Linked DNA regions of Callithrix jacchus. The protein of the gene in region 5 interacts with the protein of the main gene of each other region in a pairwise test. Links are inferred from orthologs where the notes say so. Each region holds a gene or a part of one and is shown on either strand. Other genes may lie near its edges.

Region 1 (3,500 bases), on a different chromosome or scaffold from region 5:
TCTGTCTGCTATTCATCCATCAACCCACCTAACAACAAATACCTATTGAGTACTTATTATGAATAAGGTATTGTGCTATATAGTGGCAATATTGACAAAATGAGCAAATCAGACATATTTGCTAGGCATATGGAGTTTACTACCTAGTACAAAGAGAACCCCATTAATCAAATAACATAGAAAATCTTACAATTATAATTCTTAAGTGGTAAAAGGATAGATAATCCTATAGATGTATGATCTGATTTCATTTTGGGGCCTAAGTGAGAACTCCTTGAAGTGAAGTATGACACAAGCAAAAACGACCAGGTGAGGCAATGGTGGCAATGATGGCGCTGTTCCAGAGAGAGTCTATGGGAAGGCTCTGTGCATGTGCTCTTCATCTAGCTTTCTCCCATTCTCTGGGCCTCTCGCTAGTCTCATTTTCTTACATTTATTTATCTGGATCTCGACTAAATAGTCCCCTTCACTGTATCACTGAGCTGTGCTAATCTACTTGGTTTCCTTTATTTAGTGCAGTCTAACCTAATAAAACTCTATTTCTGAAGGTTGTATGGCAGGAACACTTGTTGACTGTTGACATGTTGGGCATTTTACATACATTATTGGGGTCTTCCCCCATCTTTATCCTGGGCTTTGTCTCTCTCTTGAACTTAATTTCTGTATGCCTTCCTCTTTCATATATTCCTTTATTTTGGTAAGAATGTCTTCCAGAAGCTTCCAAAGAAAGGCTATTTGTGAGGTAAATTTTTGAGACTTTAAATGTCTGAGAACATCCTTTTTTATTTTCACACTTACTGACAGAATGAAGTATGAAATTTATAGGTTGGAAATCTAGTTGAGAATTGTGAAGATTTGCACCACAAAGTTTTGCTTCCAGTGTTGCCACTGTGAAATGTGATGCCATTCTTATATGTAATCCTCTGTAGAAGAATCTGAAAAATGTGTAGAAATCTTTTCTGAAAAAAAAAAAATCAATAGCTTTTCTATGTACCAACAATGATCAATTAGGGGCAGGCAGATATGTGGGGAAAAATTCCATTCCAAACTCTAATAGAATTCATAAAGTATTTGGGAATAAATCTAACAAACATTTCACACCTATGTGAAAAAATTTTATACTTTATTAAATATAAGACTTGACTAGACACATAGGCAGTAGTCACAGATGACAATGTTATATATCATTATAATAATTCCAACTTTAGATTCAAGGCAGCTCTAATGCAAATTCCAAAAAAGTTTATCCACAAACGGATCCTAAAATTCACAAGTACAGAGAAAAAAAGAGTCAAACAATTTTTAAAAGAATAAGAAAGGAAAATTTGCCCTACAATATATCAACATTAATTATAAATCTACAGTAATTTTAAAAATGTTGTTTGCAAAGAGACAGAAACAAGAATGGCTAAAATAATAGCCTCGCCATACACCCATATATGTGAAATAAGGTATGTAACAGATGGCATCATCAAATTGACAGAGGAAGAGATACTATCCAGTTAATGGTGCAAGCCAACTGGTATTCATAGAGAAAACAGAATTAGATCCCCACATCTCACACAAAGATGAATTCCAAGTAGATGAAAAATATGAACATGAAAAACTTTTAAAATGAAAAATCTGAAACAAAAATGGCAAAATGTCAACATTTACTGAATCTGAGTAGTTCATATATGTTAATATATGTATTTTCTATACTTTTATGCATGTTTAAAATTCAAAAAGTCATGAATGATCTATAATAATTACCCTGTATCCCGTATCTTCCACAACATCACATGAAGTTGCATTATCATTGGTACGCCACACTGTCTCCTTGATGCTGCAACCATACATAAATACATTCTTCTTTCGGGAATGGCCATGATAATCACAATAAACCTTGAAAATACGTGTTTTAAAAATTAAAAGACTTCCTTATATTACTAAGTCAAGGTAGTTAATATCAAGCCAATAAACATGTAGGTCTGTGTTCCTTGGTCTTTTTATTGTAAATAAACATGTCTTTTATTTTTTATTTTTTTAAAAATGATACTCTTAAAAATTAAATTAAAACCATACCCTTCTTTACGGTGTTTTTTAATAAATAAGGGCATTTTCTTGTTTTTTTTTTTTTTTTCTGTTGTGGTTTTTAAATTTCTTTTGTTGTTGTTTCTTGTAAAAGAGCCACCATTTAACAATTATGACCAATAAAAGTGATAATGCCTATTAATGCCTAGTTTGGGAAAGGATCTATAATTAATTCTAGAATTGCCAAATCCTTTAAAGGTCCTATATCACCTTTGTATTTACTATTCACCATTTTAAAAATAATACATTTCATTATAGTTCAAATCTACAGCTGTGGTGACTGCTGCCCCAAATGGTTATAAAAACATTTACCTAATTTAGTCTGGAGCAGTGCCTCACGCCTGTAATCCCAACACTTTGGGAGGCCAAGGTGGGTGGATCACCAGAAGTTAGGAGCTCAATGCCAGCCTGACCAACATGGCAAAACCCCATCTATACTAAAAATATAAAAATTAGCCAGGAGTGGTTGTGGGTGCCTGTAATTCCAGCTACTTGGGAGACGGAGGCAAGAGAATAGCTTGACCCTGGGAGGTGGAGGCCAAGGTGGGTGGATCACCAGAAGTTAGGAGTTCAATGCCAGCCTGACCAACATGGCAAAACCCCATCTATACTAAAAATATAAAAATTAGCCAGGAGTGGTTGTGGGTGCCTGTAATTCCAGCTACTTGGGAGACGGAGGCAAGAGAATAGCTTGACCCTGGGAGGTGTAGGTTGCAGTGAGCCGAGATCATGCCAATGCACTCCAATCTGGGCAACAAGAGCAAAAATTTGTCTCAAAAAAAATTTTTTTGATTTAAAAGCGAATAATAACAACAACAACAACAACAACAACAACAAAAACTAGAAAATGCTCTTATTTATTAAAAAACACCATAAAGAAGGGTATGGCTTTAAGAGCATCATTTTTAAAAAAATAAAAACTAAAAGACATGTCAATTTTACTCCTCTGCAAAGCCTTTCTTTCTTAAAGAAAGATTAAATAATATACATACTAATATCATGAAAACATCCTAATCAAAAGCTGGTGAGAACAGAAAAAGCATATGTATATAGTTCAGTTCAGTCATGCCTGTACTACATTTCCCATTTGTGTAGTAGAGATTTAACAGCTTCAGAGCTGACTAGAAAACTCAGAATAAGCTCCTAGTTTGAGAATTTGAAGATACATATTGTTACCTTAGTGTTGTTCAAGCAGTGAAATTAAGTATCTAAAACCAAGAGTTATCAATATTCATAACCAAAAAAGAAAAGTAAAAGGCTTATATAAGAGAATTATAAACATTCACCCTTGTAAAATTAAGAATACAAACATTAATGGATGAATCTGACCCCACGATTATTACACAAGTACTTGATAACAAAAAATGACATTTTATCTTTGACTATACCAAGTAAAAACAAGTAATGCTACTTACCAAAGGTAAACG
Region 2 (4,272 bases), on a different chromosome or scaffold from region 5:
GAGGCAGGAGAATTGCCTGAACCCAGGAGGCGGAGGTTGCGGTGAGCCGAGATCGCGCCATTGCACTCCAGCCTGGGTAACAAGAGCGAAACTCCGTCTCAAAAAAAAAAAAAAAAAAAAGAATGTTATCAAGTGCCTGTAGATGTTCTGGTCACAAGATATACAAAGGTGAACTGAACAGACCAGAGCTCTGCCTTCTTGGAGTTTAGTGTGTGTGTGTCTGTGCTTGGGAGGGGGAGTGTCTGGCTCACAAAATATACTAAGTTCAGTATGTTGAGCAGAGCAGACTGTGCTACCTAGATGTGTGGTTATACATTTGTGGTGAGGACAGGCCCATCTTCCTTGTTCGACCCCGTCACTCCAGTACCTTGTGAAAGGCATATTAGGTACCTGATTTATGTTGGCTGACTAAATAAATGAATGGGTGGACTTTCTGAGAGGGGACCCAGTAAATCCAGCACCACAGGTTTTGGGTTTAGGATGTGTGTGTGGATATGATGTAAGGTGTGTAGTTTGTGGACTCTGTTTATGTGGCAAAGTCTGGGTCAGAGTATACGTGGTAGATGTGGAGGAGAGGATGAGATATGAAAGCACAGATGTACATAAGAAAGTCTGCCTGTGTGTGAGGTAATATGAAAAGCCAAGTGTTTGGTTGTGTAATTTTGAAGTAAATCCGGGCTTGGGTGTGAATCTAAGTGTAGGTTCTGACTGAGGTAAACCTGGGCTGTGTCAGCGTGTGAGATTAAAATGTGGGGGTGGTTGTTTGAGGGACAGAGCATTAATGAAGAGTGATTTGCAGGGCAAAGTCTAAGAATGTGTGTGTGTGTGTCTGTGATCTGAAATGTCATTGTGTGTGAGGCAAATTAGGGGTGGTAAAAGCAAAAGCTACGATATTATATACAAACTAAGAAAGGGCTCATGTGAGTCAAAGGGAAGGAAGAGGGCCTCTCTCTCAGTGTGCTTGTGTTGTGTGTGCAAACCAATTCAGGACTTTATGTGAGGGTGTGGGTTCTCAAGGCTGATCCTGGAACTGGGTGTAATTGTGAGTGTAATCTTAAAGATGAGGATGAGGCACGTCCGGGGTTCTGGGTAGGATTGTGAGTCTGTCGTAAATTTGAGTTTTCATGTGTTACTTGTAGATCAGGACTTGGCTTTGAGATGAATCCACCTGGGTCAGCATTGTTTTTGTGCATGAGGGGCGACCTAAAGCTTTGTGTTTGTGAGGCGAACGTGAGGCAAACTAGGGAGTCAGTGGGGGTGAGACAGTCAAGTTCCTGAGCGTGAACATTTCTAAGGCGTCTGAATGGCGAGTCAGTGTGTGAAGCGAGGCTGCTGCGCGAGCGGGCAGTGTGCGCCTGTGTGTGCGTGTGCGCGCGCGCCAAGTTTGGTTTGTGTTTGTGATGGGCACCGACGCTGCGTCAGCCCGGGAGGCCACGTTAGGGTTGGGGGTGCGTGAGGAGGTGCGGCCGGCCGAGAGGTCCCGCGAGCGAGCCGAGCGCGCCGCTCCTCCGGGCCCCTGCGCCTAGCGCTAGCTGGCTGTGTGGCTCGCTGGCTCGCTGGGGACAGGCAGGAATCGGAGCAGCACTGCCGCCTCTGGCGCGAAGGCTCAGGCGCCTCCTCCCGCCCCAGTCACTGTGGCTCGGCGCACGCTGCCGGCGGCTGCCCTTTCCGCCTCTGGGGAAGAAAAACCCGCGGGCCGTTTTCGCGCTTGAACCATGGCCTCGGGCCGGAGGGGCTGGGACAGCTCCCACGAAGACGATCTGCCCGTGTACCTGGCCAGGCCGGGCACCACGGACCAGGTCCCGCGGCAGAAATACGGCGGCATGTTCTGCAACGTGGAGGGCGCCTTCGAGAGCAAGACGCTGGATTTCGATGCCCTGAGCGTGGGGCAGCGGGGCGCGAAGACCCCTCGGAGCGGCCAGGGCAGCGACCGAGGCTCGGGAAGCCGGCCCGGCATCGAGGGGGACACCCCGCGCAGGGGCCAAGGCCGGGAAGAGATCAGGGAGCCCGCGCCCGCGTCCTCCGCGCCCGCCGGGGTGGAGATCCGGAGCGCCACCGGCAAAGAGGTGTTACAGAACCTCGGCCCCAAGGACAAGGTAAGGGGACCCTGGGTCACTTCCCTGCTTGCCTTGGTTCCTTTCTCCAGCCCCGGCCGCCATGGCCCGGGCACAACTTTCTCCAGCTCACTTTGCACAGGGCTGGGGGGACCAGGAGGAGGAAAGGGGCATTCGCCACTGAGCGTAGCGCGACTTCCTAGCTCAGACGCTGGATTCACGCGTGTAGCCACTTGCAGCATCTTCGTGCAAGCGCGGAAAGGATGCCCGGGTCCCCCTGCCTGGCGCCGCGTCCTTTACCCCTGCCTCCTCTCCGCACCCCTGGGCCATCCGTTCTGGGTGGGTGTGTCAGCCCGGGAAAGCTTAGTGATTTCCAGCTCTTCTCTCTGTGTGAGTAACCAACAGCACAATTGCCTTGCCCCCCGCTCTGGCCCTAGATTAAATCTCAACCCGGGTCACCAGGGCAGAGGGCAAAGTGATGCTGGGAATATGGGGTCATCTCCATAGTCCCCGGATGAAAGTACAGGATGAGCGGTCTCCCCTCTCACTCTTCAAACATCAGCTCTGCTCCTGAAACTTTTAGGTGTGGAGCCTCTAGACTAAACACTCGAATATCTCTCTATGCCTCGCTTATGTCTTAGCACGGCATTTCGCATCTGTGTTTGTAAAGAGTGTATTTGTGTACATAGCTTGGCACAAGACCGGGTATACAGGGGTCCAGCTGCCTCTGCAAGAATAGCATTATATTTTAGAAAATAGACGAGAGTATTAAGAGTGCACATTAAACTAGCATGAGATGCAAATTCCCTGCTGCTCTTAAATGTGCCAAAGCCAATTTCTTCTGTATGTGTATTTTTGAGAAACTTATGTCACACTGAACTGACTGAGGGATGGCATTGAAATCTAGCTTGCCCTGATTTTTGTGTCTATTTCATAGAGAATCAGAGTTGTAGTTCAGAAAATTCAGGACCTGGCAGGGCTGCAGACTTCAGAGTTCAAACTGAAGCTTTTAGATAGGGAATAATAGTAATCAGATGCTTCACCCTAGTCTAGGTAATAGCTTCAAAATCCATCCACATGTATTATTCTGCACTAATATGGTTAGAAATAATAAGCTGAAATGGAAATGTCTGCCTCAGAGCAATTGCAGTTAATGCTTCTCCAGGTTTTAGTTGGTTTTCCATTAAAATGCAATGAGCTAATGAAAGGACAACATCTTTCTCCACTGTCTGATTTTTGAAAGTTTAGACCGACAGACCAACCAACCGACCAACCGGCTGACCAACCAACCAACCAACCAACCAACCTTTAACTACCAAGATGACCAGGGAAAATAAATACTGAAGTTAGTGCTGTTCAAGGGTACCACTTGGGAAACAATGTCAGTTTCCTCTGGAATCACTCATCTAGCTTGTGATTTTCACATCATCCTTTGAGTGTGGGATTCCCCTGAGCTCTTGTTTACTAACATTTTAGGGAACACTTCTGATATTTTGCAAATGTTTGGGTTGATAGCTAAACTGAAGAAGAGCTCTATAGAAAGGTTATTCCTGTTCTTCATGTCTGACTTGATCCATATTGAAATGTTCCCTTCCTGACTGCCAGGGGCGGGAGTAGTGATGGAAAAGGTCGGTAACAATTGCTGTGAGTCAGTGCTATTCCCTTTGCTGAAACACCCCTGATGTAAGCCAGATAATATGCTGGGTTTGCAAAATTTAAGAATGGTAACTAGAGAAAGGGAAAATATTCCTCCTTTAAACCTAGCAATTCTCCCGTTTTCTTCCCTTTTGCAAACCCTATACTTTTGGCTACTAATTGAGAAACAATAATACAACCTAGGCACCAGCAGGATTGCTAGTGCTATATAGTTATTTGTAAGTTTGGGCTTGCAGTCTGCTTCGTCCAGGCCGTGTTATTATCTCTAATTTGATTGAATCATACTGTCAGAAGAGACCACAGAGGTTATCAAGTTCTGAATTTGTTTATTTCCTTCAGGGTAGAGATTGTATATTTGGATTTATGTGTGTGGCTAGAATGCTTGGCACACTGGAGGTGTTCAATAAATATTTGATAAACTAAACTCTTTAATTAGCCATGTCTTTTTCCGCATAGATGGTAAAAGGATCATCTGGCCTCTGTTTAAATACCACTGTTGTCAGGGAGCTCACTTCTTCATGAAGGAACTTTTTGGACTTTACTTAAAAAAAAAAAATTAAGC
Region 3 (4,110 bases), on a different chromosome or scaffold from region 5:
TAAATTGTCTCTTTCATTAACTCTGCTGCTTCTCAAATGCAGTATATATATATATTTACCTACATAAAGTGGAGCAATAAAATCAGTACATATAAGCTTAAGCCCGTTTCAAGAAAAGAGCTCCCTTGGACAATACAAATTAATGACGAGATAAGCTCATTTGAAACCTCTTTTTAAAATAATAGCGCATATTGAATTATTCAGAACCCCAAATCTCACTGTTTAAAAATCAAGGGTCACCTGGCGCTGTGTCTCAGGCCTGTAATGCCAGACCTCACCTGAGGTCAGGGGTTTCAGACCAGCCTGGCCAACATGGTGAAATCCCGTCTCTAGTAAAAATACAAAAATTAGCCGAGAGTGGTGGCGCGTGCCTATAATCCCAACTACTCGGGAAGTTGAGGCAGGAGAATCGATTGAACTCAGGAGGCGGAGGGTGCAGTGAGCCGATATCGCGCCGCCGCACTCCAGCCTGGGCGACAGAAGAGACTCCGTCTCAAAAAAAAAAAAAAAAATCAAGGGTCTCTATGTGGAATAAATTACTAATCCCCAAGACGACTGTCATCAGTAGTTCAATCCATAATTTAGCAACCTCACACAGACATCCCTCACAGGGATAAAGTTCCAGGCCTTTCTTTGGGCATCGGTTTCCAGACCTGGAGAGACTCTGGTGTGTGTGTGACTAAGGAGAATAGCTGAATCACATCTAAAAGCGAGTCCTCCCAATTAAGAATCTATAATAAAAATGAAGACAATGATAGCATTCCATCTGCCTTTTAACCTCGACAGTTCTTCCTCCCAAGCCAACAAGCCTACTCCCCTCCCTCATTCCCCCCGCAAACTGGGAAATTATCTCCGAGGCCCGAGGCAGAGGGGCGGTAAGGTGGCCGGGCCCCGCTGCCTCTCCCGCCTCCCGAGGCTCGCTCCGCACGGTGCCAGCGGGTCCCCGCGGTCGGCCGCAAGGTCGCAAAAGCGGGGGGGGGGCGGGGAGGTGAGGAGGGCCAGAGTTCAGATGGGGCCACAGGTCAGAGGAGGGGCTGGGAAAAAGGAGCCTTCCCAAGGTTACCGAAGCGTGCGGACCGCGAAAAGCGCGCAGACTCGCCGCTGGCCCGGGGGCACTGAGTAGCCGCCCGCCCGCTAGAAGGCAGCGCTGCCCCGGCCCGGCCCAGCCCCGCGCATGCGCTGCAGCCCCTCCTCCGCTCCCGGCGCCCGCCCCTCCCGCTTCCTGGCGGGTCTGGGGCGGCGGCGGCGGCGGCGGCGGTGGCGGCTGCGGCGGCGCGGTGACGTCAGGGCGTTGGGGCAGCTCCTGTGACAGACGGAGCTGGAGCAGTGGGGCGGCGGCGGAGTCCGGCGGCCGGGAGGGCGAGTGAGCGAGCGGAGGAGCGGTGACCCGGAGGTCTAGGGAGCGAGAAGGAAAAGGAGGGGAGCGCTCCGGCGCGAGCGAGAGAAACCGCGAGCGCCGAGCTTAGGCTCGAGCCCCGGAACGGCTGAGGAGCCCGCCCGCTCCCCTCCCCTCCCCCTCCCCGGGCCCGGGCCCAGCGCGCCATCCTCCCCTCCTCCTTCCCTCCCTCCCTCCTCCCTCCCCCCCTCCCTCCCCCTCCCCCGCCGGTGGATGGGAGTGAAGGACGGAAGAGGCCCTGCGGAGGCGGCGGTGCAGCGCTCCGGTAAGGCGGCGCGGGTTTGCGCCCTCATCTGTCTCCTCCACCGCACCCAGGCTGCTGCGGGCCGGGCCCGGCGGCCTGACGATGTGGCTGCGCGGGTCCCCTCCCTCCCATTCTCCCCTCCCCCTGCCGCCGCCGCCGCCGCCTCCTCCTTCTTCTTCTCTCATCGCTCTCAAAATGGCGGCCGCGACGGCCGTTGAGTGAGAGACCCGGAGGAGGGGGATTGGCCGGGGAGGGCGCTGCCCTCGCTCCTCTCCGCCGGGGCCCGGCCCTGGGGGCTGCCCGCGCCGCTGCGACCCTCCCGCGGCCCTCCGCATGAAGGGATCGTCCTCCTCCCTCAGTGACTTAGCAAGAAAAGTATTCTTGGGTAGGAAGGGCGTGGGGAGCAGGTCGCTCTCTGATCTCGGGGAAGGGGATCGGCTTCGCTCTCCCCGGTCGCGGAGGCGAGCTCCGCAGTCCCCACCCCACCCTCCGTGGTCGGCTCGGGGACCGGCTCTGCGCCGCGCCGCCGGGGCACCCACCGGGCCTTCCAGGCGTTCCGTCCCCCACCCGTCCTTAGGATGGGGTTGAGCAGCGGAGGGTGGCCCACAGTCTCCCTGGCCCCCAGAGCTGTGGTCCAGCCTCAGCACCCGCCAAGGAGTGGCAGCCCTGCCCGCTGAGCAATCCGCAGCATCCACCCACCAAATCTGGCAGGATTTTCTTTCTGCCACCGGCTCCTCGAACGGGAGTTGCCTTTTGATACTGTTAACATTGAGCTTCGAGGCCCTCTGCCATTCCCCTTCATCTCATCCCTGCCCCTATGGGAAACGCAGTGCCTGGGTATATTTACCTTCTTTAACCTCCCGGGTGAGAAAATGCCTTTGAGGTGGTCGGCACATTTTGACGCTTAGAGACATAACAGTAGAGTGCAAAAGGTTTTCAGTATTTAGTAGGAGAGAGCAAGTTATCTTAGCTTTATTTGATATGCTGCCTTTTTTCAGTGACTTAGCAAGAAACTCCTCGGGAAGAGGGCAGGAAATTTTGTTTTGGGGTTTGGACCCAATTTATATCAATCTTTTGGTTAAGAAAATACGCCTTTGAAGAGGAGGACCAGATTTGTGGTTTCGTTCTCAATGGGCGATGTCATGCCAAGGTTCCCCCTCAGTCTTTCCTTAAGTGGCAGTCCGGACAAATGGAGATATTACTGTGATTCCCACTTCTCCTTTAAGAGCCCAGTCTTTGAGATTCATAACGTTTTAAAGGCCAATTTGTGCCAATCTTGGCAATTCTATTTTTGTTGGGGGAGGGTGGGTTATTTTGTGTGATTTTATTTTTGAGGCCAGAGCGGAGGAGACAGTGTTTGGGCCTTCTATACCTGTAATAATGCCATCCCTCCCTTTTTGCCACAGCAGTGTTTCTTTTCTTTTCTTTTTTGCTGCAGCGGGGCCTGATTGCTGCGGGGTCCAGTCTCATAATGAGGAAAATTTCCTGTTGAGTATGTCATCATAGTGATGTTGAATGTATATAAAAGCTTTTACTTAAAAAATTCTGATACGGTTTTAAGGCATTAGCTAGCTTTTAATCTCTAATGGGTGTCTTTTAGGACACAGTTTCACAAAATAATTGGCAGTTGCAAATTGCAGTTTTTAATAAAGCACAAGAGTAATCTGTATTTAGGGCGATTTCTTTCGTGTTCATTAATGATCATTGTTTGGATTGTTCAGAATGGGTGGAATCTCCTAAAAGAAATTTAAGGCTGGTATATATTTTTTGAAAATCGGAAAGAAACCCAGTTTTTTACATAAAGTACTTCTGTATATGTTGATTTTGATGGAGCAAACCCTGTGTTGGTACCTCCCCCTACTTCCTTTTAAAAAAAATGGGCTAATGTTTGTGGATGCTGTGAACAGCCATTGAGCAGAGAAGACTGGGTGGAGTAAGGGAGCAGAAGCTGTGAAATGCTAGATTGCCCTTTCACAGCGTCTTTCTCTTGCTTAGGTTTTATAAGGTTATTTGATATGAATGGTTGCTATAACTAAGTCATTTTTCTGTAGTAAATTTTAAAATCTAATGTTTTCTACCTTTTTTGCATGATGGGTATTGAATGATTGGGTTAAAAAGCAGTGTCCCTGCTTTAATACAGACACTTATTGTCTCTGTATTTGTCCGTGTGTCTCTGTCTATATATATTAATATATATAGGCACACACACATATGTCTACACTCTCATTAATGTTTTTTATTGTTCTAGTCATATCAGTATAAATTAATTAATGTCAGAACTATTTGCTAAGAATTAGTAGGAGGTATAGGAATACTGCAAAATTCTAAAAAAAAAAAAAAAAAAACCAAAAAACTACAGTTTTCTTCTACTTAAAACAGTAAATCTGTTTAAGGTTTTAAAATAATGAACATAAAATATGAGAAAAAAAGGATAAGATAATTTGCATTAAAGGCCCTTTAAACCTTTTTT
Region 4 (3,500 bases), on a different chromosome or scaffold from region 5:
ATCAGCCCCCTAGACTGGGTTCCTCCTGATTTTATCCACAGAAACACAACAGTTGCTTACCATTAACTAGCAATGTCAGTGAAAATCCCCAGTCAACTTACTTTCACCATTTCCCTTGCTGGTCATGCTGCTGACCTGACCTCTAAACTTTCCATGGCTCCCCTTCACCCAAGGGGAAAAGCTCTGGAATGTTAGCAAGGCATTCAAGGTCTTCCCCATCTTGCTCCATTTTCCCCTTCCAGCCTCTAGCACCATGCATGGAACACTCTGCTCCCAGCACTCTTTTGGCTCTGATCTATGAAACCAAGTGTTCCTCTGGTTGTCCTCTGAGCTTCTTCTCTACCCAGGGTATGTGCCACAACCATGAGCCCTTTCATTATAAACTAGCTTATTATTTCCACTTTCAGCTATAAGGATGCAGGCTACACTTTTTCATAATATTCCCCCTCTATGCCTAGCACAGCAATGGGCCTGTGGCTCAACTCCAACAATGATTTGTCAAAGAACTGATCATTTAACCTGGGAAATACTTACTAATAGTAGATATCAAATCTTGAAACCTTTCCTTAGGAAAGAGTGGGTTTTCCAGTCCTCGGAAATACAGTTTTAAAACACCAGCGACTGAATTGATATCTCGTTCATTTTGATCGTCCACAAGGGGGTCTTCACCTGAGTGGAAACAAGAGAGGAGGTGATGTCTCAGCTTGGGAAGGAGTCAGAGAGCATCAGATGGCAGAAGAGATGGCCTGGCCCAGCCCAAACCACCGGAACGGCAGATGGGAGAAGCCTTCCCCACATATGAGACCCCCTTCAGCAAGTTTAAAGTTCTCCCTGCAACTCCTTAATTGGCAGCACGCCCCCGCAAAAAGAAAAAAAAAACCAAAATGTTCAAATCTATAAAGTTGTAAAAAATAAAATAATGAACACCCATCACCCTTCACTTACACTCATCTTGCCATATTTGATTTCTCATTCTTTCTGTATTTATATTTATTGTTGCTCCACTATTTGAGATTATTCTGTAGACATCAAAACACACCACTGCTAACTACTTCAACACTCTTCTAAGAATAAGGATATTCACCTACGTAACCACAATATTATTACACCTAAGAAAATTAACCATTGAAAAATAACATCTCATAGACAGCCTACAATTCAGATATCCCCAGTTGTCCCACGGTATCTTTTACAGAATTTGTTCAAAAGCCAAGGTCTAATCAATGTTCACACAATTAATTTGGTGGTTACATTTCTTGAGTCCTTTAAGTGTAAAACACACCCTGATATTTTTGCATGCTAGTTTGTGTTTTATAATATCGGCTCTTTCTGAAGAGCCCTAGCCAGTTGTCTTATAGAATGCCTCACACTCCAGATGTGTTGTCTCATAATTAGATTATAATTCAATATTTTTGGCAGGAACACTATATGGGTGATGTTACAAACACCTTAATGCATCCCATTAGCAGGCACATACATCAGACTGTCCCGCTGCTGGTGATGCCAGCCTTGATCACTGGGTTAAGGTGGTGGCCTCCGGATCTCTACATTATAAAGGTATTTTCCCTCACTTTGTAATAAGTATGATCCATGAAATGATACTCAAAGTGTCATGATACTTTGAGACCATGTGCCTGTAGTGCCCAACATGTTTCACCCAATGGTTTTAGCATCCAGTGATGATTTTTGCAACCAGCAATGATTTCTGCCCAAATTAATTGTTCCACTGGGGGTCACAACATGGTGATTTTCTAATTGTGTCATTTCTTCTCTGTGTATCAGCAGGAATTCTTTTATAAAGAAGAGCTGTCCTCATGTCACCCACCCTCACTCCCTTATTGTTAATATTTCTATACACTTGTTTTTGTAATTTTTAACTTAATTGTGATTATCCATTACCATCACCGTTTTTTGGAATACTTAAATTGTCCCAAATTTAGCCAGGAAGTATAATTTCTTGTGTCCTTTTAATGTGACCTTCATTGAGCACTTCCTTGCTTTCTGGACACAAAAAAGCCACCAATTACTTTTTACTTTCCTTTATCCAGCTCCAGAATCAAACGTTTCTTCAACAAGCTCTGTTTGCTTTTCGTAGAGAATCATAAAGAGACATCAAGATCTAGGTACTAGGTGTGCTCATTGCTGCAGAGGCGTCATAACGAGATTCTTTCAGTGGATAGAATTAGAATTTTTTTTCTTAAGTTCATACTGATTTTTTTTTTTTTTTTTGGGAGGGAAGGAGGAAGGGAGGAAGGCAGGAAGGGAGGGAAGGAGGAAGGGAGGGAGGAAGGAAGGGATGAAGGAAGGAAGGGAGGAAGGGGGGAGGAAGGGAGGGAAAGGAAAGAAGGAATTCAAGCAATGAGAGAGACATTGCCAACTTGGATCTAGAGGTTTACAAGTTGATTTCTCTTTTTGAGAGAAGGAAAGAAAAAAAATGAGTAAAGGAGAGAAAGAAAGAGGAAGAGAGAGAGGGAGGGTGAATGGAAATATTGCTTTATTCTGAAAAAAAAATGGGTATTAATAATGGCCAATCAATGTTTCATTTAAACCTATGAGTACATGTGATGTGGTATTGACAAGAATGTATATTTTATGTATTTGAAGTGGAGAGCTCTATAAATATTTATTAAGTTTACTTGTTCCAGATCTGAGTTCGAGTCCTTGATATCCTTATTAATTTTCTGTCTCATTGAATCTAAGTCTCTATGTATCTGGGTGTTAGGATTGTTAGCTCTTGTTGTTGTATTGATCCTTTTACCACTATATCTTTGTTGCTTTAAAATCTATTTTATCCGCTATGAGAATTGCAACTCCTGCTTTTTATTTATTTATTTATTTATTTTTGCTCTCCATTTGGTTGGTAAATCTTTCTCCATTCCTTTGTTTTGAGTCTTTGTGTATCCTTGCATGTGAAACAGGTCTGGATGTAACATGCCGTTGGGTTTTGGCTGTGTCTTTTGATTGGGGGATTTAGTCGATTTAAATTTAGGGCTACTGTCATTTGATGTTAACTGGCTGTTTTATCCATTCGTTGGTGTAAATTCTTCTTTATGTTGGTGCTCTTTACTTTTTGGTATATTTTTAGAAGGGCTGATACTGGTTGTTTCTTTCTGTGTGTAATGCTTCTTTCAGAAGCTCTTGTAAAGCAGGCCTGGTGGTAATAAAATCTCTTTGAGTACTTGCTTGTTCATAAAAGATTTTATTTTTCCTTCAGTTGTGAAGCTTAGTTTGGCTGGATATGAAATTCTGGGCTGAAGGTTCTGTTATTTGAGGATGTTGAATATTGGCCCCCACTCTCTTCTGGCTTGTAGAGTTTCTGCTGAGAGATCTGCTGTAAGTCTGATAGGCTTGCCTTTGTGGGTAACCTGACCTTTCTCTCTGGCTGCCCTTAGTATTTTCTCCTTCGTTTCAACCCTGGTGAATCTAATGATTATGTGCCTTGGGGTTGCTCTTCTTGAGGAATATCTTCGTGGTGTTCTCTGTATTACCTGGGGTTGAAT
Region 5 (3,500 bases):
GTTAGACATGAAAGAATGATATACAAATGTAAAATAACCGAGAGGAAGATATGCCAAGCCGGCTGGTGCTGAAAAATCTTGGACTTCATTTATTAAAGGCAAACTTAAAACACTAAGAATACTTGGTTTTATCACTACTCTTTTAACTCCAGTTCAAACAGCATTGCATATTTCAAAGGTGACCCTGAAAAGTTTCATGGAAATCTTAACACAAGTGGATGCCTGGAAGAAATGTAAGACATTTGGCAGAAGAAACTATATTATTTTTATTTTTCATGGAATTCCATAATCTATTTCACTTCATATTTCATTTTAGCATCTATAACTTCAAAGTCCTGTAGCGCTTCCGGAAACTCCATCCTTTCCTAAAAGTGGAGTAATCTTTTTTCTTTACCGTATAGCTTTAAATAGTCATTCTCAAAATCCAAAGTACATTAGAATCACTTAGAGGGCTTGTTAAATCAGACTGCCAGCCCTCCCCCACCCACAGATCAGTTGGTCTGAAGTGGGCCCAATAATCTGCATTTCTATCAAGTTCCTGAGTGAGACTTGATGCTGCTGGTCCATTGATTACATTTTGAGAACCACTGGCTTAGAAGATGTCATTTTATTTAACCAAGTCCATTTAATTTTTCCAGCTTCAGGCTCATGTCAAAGTCCCAAGAAAATGAAATCTTATACGTATAGATACAGTGTACATATACACACACCTCAAAGCTCTCTATGAATTCTAGTTTTCATAATTGTAACTAAAAGGATGCTTGTTCTTATTTTGCAGAAACTCCTACGGGTCCCCAGGGAGGCCAATTTACATAGAAGTGAGTTTACAGTTGCCTCAAGTTTAAGGGTGATGCTTTTTACTTTCTTACCTTTTCTTCTATTCTTCAATATTGGTGAGTATAAAAATTATATATTAAGGGTCATAATTTGATTGTCCTATGCCTGAATCCATGTCACAATTCCCTAGGCTTTTAGTAGGTTTTCTTGTGTACCCTATTGGTATGCCTGATGGAATGGAGGAGAGATTATACCTGGGGATCGACTGGTCTGAGCATCGGGGGTGTCCGAGCAGGCTGAACTCCACTAATGCTGAAGGACTCCGACCTTGGGGGCAGACTGGGGTCAGATATTCTGTTGGCAACCTTGTGAGGCATGGCGGGGGAACTTTGCCGGTTGAGCCTTGACCGTTCTTCTACCTACAAGCCAAAAAAGAGACAGCCTCAATGTGTAGAAGTAGATCCACCTTCTAGCAAGGATTTTCTGTAGTCACCTGCACAGCCATTTGAATCCTCTGATCAACTGATTTTAAGGAGCCAAAACTCTCCATTTCTGCTCTGCATCAAGAATTTGCAAAGAGCAAACACTGGCAACAACAACAAAAATGTAGAACACCCAGGCCACCACTCTTTGCTTAACCCATTATCTTGTGTTGTTCCGTTAGCAGGGAATTTGTGACCTGCTGAGAGTTTTTCTCGCATGGATTGTGATGTTATCTTACTGATTGGTCCTAATGCCATGGGGTCAGTGAGGGAGACAGTTTGCACTCTAGACAATCAAAGGGAATGGTAGCATGCATTTAGATGGCTTGGGGAACATTGAAAATTGCTTTGGGTTGACTCATGGGACATGAGAGGAAGAACAAGAGGTTGAAGCTGAGAACATGCACCCTCCGTTTCTTCACGTGTCCTACTGATAGGCAACTGGGGGCTCCAGGCTGCCTAATTAATGAGCGTGGCCTGTTTAGAATAGACTTCCTGTGTCACTTTCTTTTTCTCTCTTTAAGGGTCTTTCTTCCCAGTTGTCTTTCCTGCTTCCTCAAATACAATGGCCCCTGTCATTCTTTCATGCCCTGCTTGGACTGCACTGTCTCGCTCTCCCCTCTCTTCCTCCCTGTTTCTACACATGTGGTGTTCATTCCTGCTTCCCCTCTAACCCTGCTTCTCTCAGGCTATTTCACTTCCTCGTCATTCCCCTCCTTCCAGAGTCTCTTTCAGCCCAAAGCAGGTAACAGGTCCCAAGTGCCTCATGGGCAGTGCTCACAGAACTAGTGAATGCTCTTTTTAAACAGGTAATCATTACCCTTAGTACATATTTACAGCAGAAAGACTGTCGTGGAGGACAGTTTTAAAGAGGAATTTAGATAAACAAGATGCACACTATAAGATACAGCTTAAGATCTTAGACAACTTTAAAAATTCTGTGACTTTTCTTCCAGATCAACTGTGTCCTGTCCTTGATTTCTTGAGGACCAGTTTGACTGTTGTGCTTCCCAAAGCCACCAGGACAATGCAACCATTCTCCCCACATGCATGGCCTGAATTCTCTTCTGCTGACTCACTGTCTGAGCATTTTAAGAGCCCCCATGCAGGTGTTCAATATTCATGTCTGTTTGCATATTTCTTATGTAGCAGCTAAAAATCTTTATTCATTTTACTGCCTGATTTGAAATAAAAATTTGAAAGAGCTATTTTCCCTCATCCTCCCTATCCAATTTTGAATTTTTCTAGAGGCAGACTCAATCAAATATACAAAGCAAGTCTGTTTTCAAACTCATATTAATCTCACGTATTTTAACACAATAAGAGGAGCTACAGAATGAAGAACAGCCCTCTTGCCTCTACTGAGGAGTAATTTGAACATCTATTCCCCCACCATGGCTGTGCAGGGTACATACAATTGGCATCTAGCTGACTTCGGTTTTGAAATCCCATGCCCCAGAAGCTTACCCCTCGCCAAATAAGATTTGCTGCAAAAAGCCAGGAATATAAACCAGACCATGTATACTTTGTGTGTGCATGTGTGCAAAGTATTACATCAGCAATAGTTATTTGGCTATTGCACTGAGCAAAAGAACAAAGCCAGCCTTGAGATAAGACGTCCCACAAAGACAGCAATAGATAACTGAGATCAAGGCATGCAATAGATCACTTTTTCAAATGCCAAACTCTTTGAAAGAAGGTTAATGTTTCTAGACCACTGGCATTGGTCAGATATTATCCATTTTCTTATTTTCAGAGTTAATCATTAATAGAGAAATCACACACAAGCATCCTTCAGTGTCCGAACCCTCACTATGCAAACCAACTACCTGTCACCCAAAATTCAGGAACCAAATATATGCTGAGTGAGGAATACTTGTAATTATTAGTTTGGGCTCTAAAACACACTAATGGCTTTAAATATACATTAAGGGACAGTATATTAAAAGCAATAGTAGAAAAGTTTGCCCCCGAAAACTCTATCTTGAGCAAAAAAACCATTTTTGAGATAAAGAATTCTTTTGGTAAGTATCAGCGTCAAGGCTCCAGTCAAAGCATCCCTGCTGCTAACAGGACCACAGGCCACACGGGCCCTAAAGCCATCATTAGAAATGAACAGGGCAGAAATTAGGGTACTGGTTTTCATAGGCAATTAATGGATTTTATTAGTTATGTATAGATGTTGCTAATGTACTTCTAGTAAAAGTCTCTTATGCTTTCTAACAGTTAGTTTACATAGTA
Region 6 (3,972 bases), on a different chromosome or scaffold from region 5:
CATCTCTAGTATTTCCTGTAAATTGATAGTTAGTCCAAAGATCTGATTAGAGTCAAGTTCAATTTACTTGGCAAGAGTACTTCATAGGTGGTGCCGTGTACTTCTTATTGCATTACAGCAGCAGGAACATCTGGTTGTCCTACTTTTAGTGATGTTGACACTGATCACTGGTGAGGACAGACTGATCCATCATAAATTCCACAATAAGCTTTTCATATAATACTTTGAATAATCACTGAGCATTACCACTTTCGGATTTTACACTCTCTTTAACCTTCAAAAATAAGTTATATGTAGAAAGAAAAGGCTCAATGAATTTAGGAACCCAAAGAATTAATCTTAACAAAAGAAAGACCATCTCCCCTCTCCTTTGGAATTCAATTTCAAATACATTTATGAAATTCAGTCATCCCTTAGTATCCAGAGGAGATTGGTTCTAGGCCCCATGTGGATACCAAAATCCATGGATGCTCAAGCTGCTGATATAAAATTATATGCACATCCTCCTGTATACTTTAAATAGTCTCTAGCTTATTTATAATACCTTAGACAATGTAAATGCTATATAAATAGTTGTTATACTGTACTTTTTATTTGAAATTTTTTACTGTTACATTAGATTTGAAAAGTTTTTTTTTTTTTGGCTGGGCCAGTGGCTCATGCCTGTAATCCCAGCACTTTGGGAGGCTGAGGCGGGCAGATCACCTGAGGTTGGGAGTTCGAGACCAGTCTGACCAACATGGAGAAACCATGTCTCTACTAAAAATACAAAATTAGCTGGGCATGGTGGTGCATGCCTATAATCCCAGCTACGTGAGAGGCTGAGGCAGGAGAATCGCTTGAACCTGGGAGGTGGAGATTGTGGTGAGCCAAGATCATGCCATTGCACTCTAGCCTGGGCAACAAGAGTGAAACTTCGTCTAAAAAAAAAAAAACCCCAAAAAACCACACCTTTTTCTTTTTTGTGTAAAGATAGGGTCTTGCTACGTTGCTCAAGCTGGTCTCAAACTCCTGGGCTCAAGTGATCCTCCCCTCTCGGCCTTCCAAAGTAGTGGGATTACAGGTGTGAGCCACCACACTCAGCTAGATTTCTTTTTTAATTTGTTTCTTTCCCCCGAATGGTTTTGATCCACGGTTGGTTGAATTTATGAATGTGGGACCCTGGGATATGGAGGGCTGACTATACTATTTAGGCACCTAGTCTCAGCCTCAGGGTAAATAAACCACATAAATAACTACTTAAAGTTGGTGCAATAACAGAAGTATGTATGAAGTGCCAAGAGAACCCAGATGAAGGGGTAAACAATTCTGTTTACAGAGCTTACAGAAAGTGGAACTGAACTGGAAGATAAGCTAAGAATCTCCAATCTCATTCCACTCTACTCTCCTTTACCTAGTTCTAGCCATATAGATCATCCTCTAGTTCCTCAAAACCACCAAAGTTCTTTCCCGCTTCAGGGTTTCCATACTCTACATGGACCTATCTTTGTCACACTTTCTCTTGCTATTTCCTACTCATCCATTATATCAGTTAGTTTATCACTTCCTCAGTTAGCCTTTCTCAGATTCCCCAGTTCTCCCTTATTTTTCTCAGAGCAACCTTGTTAATTTCTTTATATCATTTTTCACAATATGTAATTACTTATCCATTGTATGCAGGCAGATCACTTAAGGTAAGGAGGTCAAGACCAGCCTGACCAGTATGATGAAACCCCATCTCTACTAAAAATACAAAAATTAGCCTGGCATGGTGTGGGCACCTGTAGTCCCAGCTACTCAGGAGGCTGAAGCAGGAGAATTGCTTGAACCCAGGAGGCAGAGGCTGCAGTGAGCCAAGATTGTGGGCACTGCACTCCAGCCTGGGTAATAGAGGGTACTCCCTCTCAAAAAAAAAAAAAAAAAAAAAATCCATGTGTGGGATTATTTATTCTAAGTCTCTCTCCTTCAGTAGAATGTAAGCTCCATGAGGGTAGGCTATATTGTCCTCCATGGTATATTCAGTGCTTTGTACAGTGCTAGAGACATAGTAAGCAGTAAATACGTATTTACCGAACGAATGAAGGAGTAGCAGCAGTAGGCTGACTCCCCTTATCACCAAGCTGGCCTACTTTCTGGCATTACTTTGCCATCCCAGAATGACTCAGGTAGAGTCCAGTACAGCCCAGTGCCCAGAGCAACTGTCCTCTCCTCTGCAGTATTTCAGATTCTCCTCAATGGCCTGGTTTAGGGAGGCAGAATTAGAGACCCTCTCAGTGGCTCCCTACAGGAATGATATTACCTTGGGGGTTTTGAGCACAAACTTCTGTTTGCTTTCATCAGGACCCAGCTGTGCCTTCAGTTTCAGCAGTTTTGCCACCTCCTCCTCGATCTGTGGAAGGAAACAAGGCGCTGGGCTATCCATCTGTCACTCTCCTCCCTCCCCCTCCCATTCATTCAATATTCCTTCCTCATCAGAATCTCTCTGCTCAGGCCTAGCTTTGTTTCTCTCGGGACCCACCCCGGATGCCTCCCCACGCAGCCCACCCTCCTCCCTACAAGCCTGGTCCTTTCCCTCATATCCCTGTCCTATATCCCGAACATCCTGGCTCTACATCCTCTCAGGCTTTGCCGAGGCCCTCTCCCTGCTGCTTGTCTCACCAGCTCGGCGCTGGCTTTCTGCTGTTTGAGGCCTCGCACGCGCTCTCCCTGAAGTTTCACCAGCTCCTCCAGTGCCGCACGCTCTGCCATCCCGTCTACCCACTTGAGCCGACTGCTGCCTAGCCCTGCTGTGGCGGCTTCAGCCTCAGCAAGGATGACTTCCGGCTATCGAGTCGCAGGCTCGCATGCCTAGAGAGCCTCCGTTGAGCGCAAAAATTATTTCCGTCTCCTACAGGAAGTGCCGTAGCTGGCTACTAAGGTAACTTGGGAGGCTCAGAGCTTAGCTTTCGTGACTGGTGAGGTGCGCGAACGCTCGAGGTGTCCCAGGTGCCCGGGTTTCGTCTTTGCAGCGCCCTGCACCCTTCCTAGAGTCCGACCCGCCTCCTTCCAAGACCTTTTGTTCCTGTCCCGGAAATCCGGAGTCCTGCCGCGCGATGCCCCAGCTCGGACTTCTACCCAGGAGGGCCTGGGCTGCGCTGCTCAGCCAGCTTCTGCGACCGCCCTGCGCTTCGTGCACCCGGGCGGTCCGTTGCCACAGCCAGGTGAGCGAGACAGAATTATCTGTGGTCTGTCCCAGCGGGGCCTCCAGATCTGAAAGCGTAGACTTGTGGCCTGTAATCCAGTAGCGTTGCAGTCGGTTTTTATCGAGTGCCTACTATGTACTGACACCAAACTAAAAGATATGGGTGCCTGGTCATTTAATCCTTGCAGCAGTCTTGAGAGGTCGGAGATTTTATTTCCATTCTGCAGATGAGGAAACGGAGGCTGCAAGATTAAATGAATGATTTATACACGGATATGTAGGAAGGGTGTATTTTAATTCATATCCAGGCTCTTTTTCCTGAAACTCTTCGACTCAAACAGTAATTTTTTTTTTTTGGAGACGGAGTTTCGCTCTTGTTACCCAGGCTGGAGTGCAATGGCGCGATCTCGGCTCACCGCAACCTCCGCCTCCTGGGTTCAGGCAATTCTCCTGCCTCAGCCTCCTGAGTAGCTGGGATTACAGGCACGCGCCATCACGCCCAGCTAATTTTTTGTATTTTTAGTAGAGACGGGGTTTCACCATGTTGACCAGAATGGTCTCGATCTCTTGACCTCGTGATCCACCCGCCTCGGCCTCCCAAAGTGCTGGGATTACAGGGGTGAGCCACCACGCCCGGCTCAAACAGTAATATTTTTAAGCAAAATGTATGAATATTCCTAATAAATAAGATGACTAAAGACCACAAGTAGACTGAGTTCACCTTAGAATTTACCTCAAAATGAATCTCAGAAAAACATTTTCGGATTTCAGAGATTTTTGGATTTTGGAATTGCAGATAAGGGATTATGGAC
Region 7 (4,258 bases), on a different chromosome or scaffold from region 5:
CTTCACACAATGACGTGTTGCTGGGGCCTAATGTTCTCACATAACAGTAGAAAACCGAAATTTGTTGTCATCTCTTTCAAGATTTGACAGTTGTGTACAATAAAAAAAAAACCTTACATAAATTAAAAGGATGAATACATTTACAGGTGTAAATGAAAACCGCTTCCAACTCAAGGCAAGTAACAGCCCATGGTGCTCTGGCAGGAAAACATCAGGTAAGAAAGGAGACCGGGTCCTATGGCTTGGACTTTCCCACCCTGACAGACTGGCAGCCCTTGCCAGCCTCTAGAGCAATCCCAGAACACTAAGCTCTGACACATGAATACCCTGCTCAACTAAGAGACTGCTGGCCATGCACTCACCAAGGCAGACTTGTCTGCCCCCAAGCACATTTTTACCTCAGCCACGAAGTGACCAAGCCACATGTACTAAAAGTTGAAATCTGCTATGTACAGGGTATTAAACAAATAAGGGGAACAATTAACTTGAATACAAGGTCAAAATCAGCAACAAGTTCTACAATCCAGTGCTGATATCAGATACAAGCTTCAAGGACAATTTCTTTTCAAAGGCTTATTCCAGTTTCATGAGGCTAGCATGAGGTGTATGCATTTGCCAGGGGCAAATTTATACTTCCGAATTAACCCATGCAGCAAATGCTACGCATCTGCTCGCAGTCCATTTAGAAGCATTTGCGGTGGACGATGGAGGGGCCAGACTCATCGTACTCCTGCTTGCTAATCCACATCTGTTGGAAGGTGGACAGTGAGGCCAGGATGGAGCCGCCGATCCACACGGAGTACTTACGCTCTGGGGGTGCAATGATCTGCAAAGACAGCCAGGCATGGCTTGAGTTCACACAGCATCCCCAGCCAGGCATCCTGAGCCAGGCCGAGGGCCACCGATCCCTTAACTCACCTTGATCTTCATGGTGCTGGGCGCAAGAGCAGTGATCTCCTTCTGCATCCTGTCGGCGATGCCTGGGTACATGGTGGTGCCGCCAGACAGCACAGTGTTGGCGTACAGGTCTTTGCGGATGTCCACATCACACTTCATGATGGAGTTGAAGGTGGTCTCATGGATGCCACAAGATTCCATGCCTAGGGGACAAAGCCCTCCCTTAGTGGTGCTATGGTGCCCAGAATCAAAGCGCTCTCAGAAGCCCTTAGACTGAACACCTACCAAGAAAAGAAGGCTGGAACAGCGCCTCCGGACACCGGAACCGCTCGTTACCAATGGTGATGACCTGGCCGTCAGGCAGCTCATAGCTCTTCTCCAGAGAGGAGGAGGATGCAGCTGTGGCCATCTCCTGCTCGAAGTCCAGGGCGACATAGCACAGCTTCTCCTTGATGTCGCGTACGATCTCCCGCTCGGCCGTGGTGGTGAAGCTGTAGCCGCGCTCCGTGAGGATCTTCATGAGGTAGTCGGTCAGGTCCCGGCCAGCCAGGTCCAGACGCAGGATAGCGTGTGGAAGGGCATAGCCCTCATAAATGGGCACCGTGTGGGTTACCCCGTCTCCAGAGTCCATGACAATACCAGTGGTGCGCCCAGAGGCGTAGAGGGACAGCACGGCCTGGATAGCCACGTACATGGCTGGGGTGTTGAAGGTCTCAAACATGATCTGAAGGTAGAAGACGAGACGGCTTAGTCAGGGGCAAGGACCCGCGACCACCCCATGCTCACACGCCACAACATGCTGCATGCCAGTGTGATGTGTGGAGAACAGAAAAGAACGCAGGCAGAAACCAAATAAGAAACCTGGAGGCTTCAGGGAGGAAATGCCGGGAGAGGAACAGAGCCTGGAACAGCGAAAGAAACACTTAAATGTCAGAAATCAAGCTGGGCAGAAAATGACTAGGAAAACGGACGAGAGCACGGGCATCGCCGAGCCTCACCTGAGTCATCTTCTCTCTGTTGGCCTTGGGGTTCAGGGGGGCCTCGGTCAGCAGCACGGGGTGCTCCTCCGGGGCCACACGCAACTCATTGTAAAAAGTGTGGTGCCAGATTTTCTCCATATCATCCCAATTGGTGACGATGCCGTGCTCGATGGGGTACTTCAGGGTCAGGATGCCGCGCTTGCTCTGGGCCTCGTCGCCCACGTAGGAGTCCTTCTGGCCCATGCCGACCATCACGCCCTGCAGGGAGTTGCCATCAGGCTCGCCGCGGCCCCCGATCCCATCCCGCAGCGCAGAACCCAGGAGCCCCGTGGCGCCCTCCACTCACCTGGTGCCGAGGGCGCCCGACAATGGAGGGAAACACGGCTCGGGGGGCGTCGTCCCCAGCAAAGCCAGCTTTGCACATGCCGGAACCATTGTCGATGACGAGCGCAGCAATTTCTTCTTCCATTGCGACCTGCCAGGAAAGCGACGGACTCAGGCGGGGCCCGCTGGAAAACAACCCCGCCACCCAGAGCCAACCAAGACCCTCCGGCGGAGGAGCGTTACGCTCCACCCCAACCCCGGAAGCCGAAGCCTCCAACACCACAACAGCTTTGAACCAGCACCCGTGCCTTTTACGTAAAGCCCACCGCCCCGAACTCCGCACTGCGGCCGGGCCCCGCCCTAAACCTACGGCATCCGCCCAACGGTACCCGCGTGGCCCACCCAGGCGGAGCCAGCCTTTTGTTCCCGAAAACGACGCGGCGAAGCGTCCGCGGCGGAAAGCGGGGCCCGCGGGGGTCGAGGGGGGACGGCCAGAAACATCCTCCTCGGGTCCGATGAGGAGCGCTTACCAGCAGAGGAGCAGGGGAGCGGAGCAGCAAGAGAACACCGTACGCGACCTGGCAGCGGCGACTGAGACCGACTGGGGCCTCCCGCGCCGCTTTTTAAGAGAAAGCAGCGCGCCCGCGCGGCCCGGCGGCGCGCGCGGCCCCAGAACATGTCCATATATGGCGATCTTTCCGAAAGCCGGGCGCTCATTGGCCCGCCCGGCCTGGTCACGTGGGGCCCCGGTCCGCCCCGCCCCCAGCCCGCACCACCTCCCACCGGCACCGCCTGCGCCACCCCCGCGCGCTCGCGACACTGGGGCTGGCGAGGGGGGCTGGGTGGGGTCTCCCTCCCGGGGTCGCTCGGAAGGCCGAAGGGCTGACGGGCCTGGCTGCGACCCGGGACTGCCGTGTGGGGAGGGCCGGGCTGCGCCCCGAAACTGCCTGACCCGGGGCGGGGCCATGCGGGAGCTGGGGTGGGTCCCCGCGGTCCGGGCCACGCTGCGGGGCTTTGCTCCCCGGGACGTCCCCTGCGGGCTTTCCCTTCGGGCTCCACGCCCGGGCCGGGCTGGGGGAGGGGCGCGGCGGGGATCCCCGGCGCTCGGCGTTTCTAGGTGCGGGGGAGCCCTCACCTCGCCCCGGTCACCATAGGAAGAAGCCTCCCGTCCCCGAACGCAGCCACTACCCCACAGGTCCCTCCACGGGGCGCCCCGCCCCGGGTCTCCGTGGGTTTGGAGCCCGATACCCCTTTCTACCCGAGCCGACACATCCCTGTCCCTGAAATCACAGGCCCGGTTTGCCCCAGGCGCAGGCTCCGGGTAGGGGCTATCCCGCCCCCTATCTGCTGAGTAGGCGGTGCGCAGCGAGGCCTTTGTTTCATGCTGCTCACCTGTAGACATTATAGGGAAACTGAGGTAGAGACCATAATCTTGACTTTCTTGAAGGTCGGCTCCCCAGTCTGGGGAGGCCGCGGGGAATCCCCTCCCTGTTTTCGAGGCCAGTTAAAGGCAGGGGGTCAGGGCTGGCGTGGGTTTGGGCACAGGCTGGCTGGTCCCGGGCGCGCACGCCTCGCTTGGAGACTCGGCGGGAAGACCTGTCATCCCCGGCACCGGCCTGGCCGCACCTGCTAGCGCGGTGCTTCGGTTACACCCCGCGGGGCTCCCGGCGCTACGGTTTCCGTGTGTGCTGTGGAATTTTCAGGATGAGAGTGCCGGCCACGGAGGGGCAGTGGGGCGGCGCAGTGAGGCGACGACTCGGCCAAGGTCGCAGACCGTTCAGCTGTACTCGACAGGCTGGGGGGCGGGACCGAGGTCCCCACGCGGAGTCCCGCGCCCTGAGCCCTGCAAAGTGAGCTTCAGACGCGGTGTTTGGGAGTCGGGCCCAGCTCACCTGCGGGCTGCAGTCACCCCGGACCCCGAGACCTGTGCCTAAGACCTCGGTATCCCAGGCCTCCCGGGGGTGCTCAGCCCCACAGGCACAGACTCCGGGGACCGGGCAAGCTTCTCAGGTGTGTGCCTTACCGGGGCGAAACCGGGGCTGAGCCCCCAACAAACA

What was found.
Region 1: the proteins of TNIK (region 5) and AGTPBP1 interact in a two-hybrid assay, tested with the Homo sapiens proteins (2 studies listed by BioGRID and IntAct). The link is inferred for Callithrix jacchus from reciprocal best matches to the Homo sapiens genes TNIK and AGTPBP1.
Region 2: the proteins of TNIK (region 5) and DPYSL3 interact in a two-hybrid assay, tested with the Homo sapiens proteins (2 studies listed by BioGRID and IntAct). The link is inferred for Callithrix jacchus from reciprocal best matches to the Homo sapiens genes TNIK and DPYSL3.
Region 3: the proteins of TNIK (region 5) and PAFAH1B1 interact in a two-hybrid assay, tested with the Homo sapiens proteins (2 studies listed by BioGRID and IntAct). The link is inferred for Callithrix jacchus from reciprocal best matches to the Homo sapiens genes TNIK and PAFAH1B1.
Region 4: the proteins of TNIK (region 5) and SRGAP3 interact in a two-hybrid assay, tested with the Homo sapiens proteins (2 studies listed by BioGRID and IntAct). The link is inferred for Callithrix jacchus from reciprocal best matches to the Homo sapiens genes TNIK and SRGAP3.
Region 6: the proteins of TNIK (region 5) and HARS1 interact in a two-hybrid assay, tested with the Homo sapiens proteins (2 studies listed by BioGRID and IntAct). The link is inferred for Callithrix jacchus from reciprocal best matches to the Homo sapiens genes TNIK and HARS1.
Region 7: the proteins of TNIK (region 5) and ACTG1 interact in a two-hybrid assay, tested with the Homo sapiens proteins (2 studies listed by BioGRID and IntAct). The link is inferred for Callithrix jacchus from reciprocal best matches to the Homo sapiens genes TNIK and ACTG1.

What each region holds. Positions count from the first base shown.
Region 1 is NC_133502.1:97,423,272-97,426,771, reverse strand, and holds part of AGTPBP1 (cytosolic carboxypeptidase 1), read right to left. Parts: coding exon 3,489-3,500; intron 1,885-3,488; coding exon 1,753-1,884; intron 1-1,752. UniProt on the Homo sapiens protein: Metallocarboxypeptidase that mediates protein deglutamylation of tubulin and non-tubulin target proteins.
Region 2 is NC_133503.1:46,031,269-46,035,540, reverse strand, and holds the start of DPYSL3 (dihydropyrimidinase-related protein 3), read left to right. Parts: upstream 1-1,472; 5' UTR 1,473-1,715; coding exon 1,716-2,096; intron 2,097-4,272.
Region 3 is NC_133506.1:65,660,552-65,664,661, reverse strand, and holds the start of PAFAH1B1 (platelet-activating factor acetylhydrolase IB subunit beta), read left to right. Parts: upstream 1-1,310; 5' UTR 1,311-1,661; exon of another isoform or gene 1,662-2,313; intron 2,314-2,487; exon of another isoform or gene 2,488-2,536; intron 2,537-3,078; exon of another isoform or gene 3,079-3,132; intron 3,133-4,110. UniProt on the Homo sapiens protein: Regulatory subunit (beta subunit) of the cytosolic type I platelet-activating factor (PAF) acetylhydrolase (PAF-AH (I)), an enzyme that catalyzes the hydrolyze of the acetyl group at the sn-2 position of PAF and its analogs and participates in PAF inactivation.
Region 4 is NC_133516.1:66,218,394-66,221,893, forward strand, and holds part of SRGAP3 (SLIT-ROBO Rho GTPase-activating protein 3), read right to left. Parts: intron 670-3,500; coding exon 535-669; intron 1-534. UniProt on the Homo sapiens protein: GTPase-activating protein for RAC1 and perhaps Cdc42, but not for RhoA small GTPase. May attenuate RAC1 signaling in neurons.
Region 5 is NC_133518.1:15,936,465-15,939,964, reverse strand, and holds part of TNIK (TRAF2 and NCK-interacting protein kinase), read right to left. Parts: intron 1,197-3,500; coding exon 1,032-1,196; intron 1-1,031. UniProt on the Homo sapiens protein: Serine/threonine kinase that acts as an essential activator of the Wnt signaling pathway. Recruited to promoters of Wnt target genes and required to activate their expression. May act by phosphorylating TCF4/TCF7L2.
Region 6 is NC_133503.1:39,057,980-39,061,951, forward strand, and holds the start of HARS1 (histidine--tRNA ligase, cytoplasmic), read right to left. Parts: upstream 2,801-3,972; 5' UTR 2,728-2,800; coding exon 2,638-2,727; intron 2,369-2,637; coding exon 2,279-2,368; intron 1-2,278. Other genes in the region: HARS2 (histidine--tRNA ligase, mitochondrial), read left to right, coding at 3,072-3,179. UniProt on the Homo sapiens protein: Catalyzes the ATP-dependent ligation of histidine to the 3'-end of its cognate tRNA, via the formation of an aminoacyl-adenylate intermediate (His-AMP). Plays a role in axon guidance.
Region 7 is NC_133506.1:137,174,493-137,178,750, forward strand, and holds the start of ACTG1 (actin, cytoplasmic 2), read right to left. Parts: upstream 2,801-4,258; 5' UTR 2,732-2,800; intron 2,353-2,731; 5' UTR 2,347-2,352; coding exon 2,224-2,346; intron 2,136-2,223; coding exon 1,896-2,135; intron 1,622-1,895; coding exon 1,183-1,621; intron 1,101-1,182; coding exon 919-1,100; intron 827-918; coding exon 683-826; 3' UTR 1-682. UniProt on the Homo sapiens protein: Actins are highly conserved proteins that are involved in various types of cell motility and are ubiquitously expressed in all eukaryotic cells.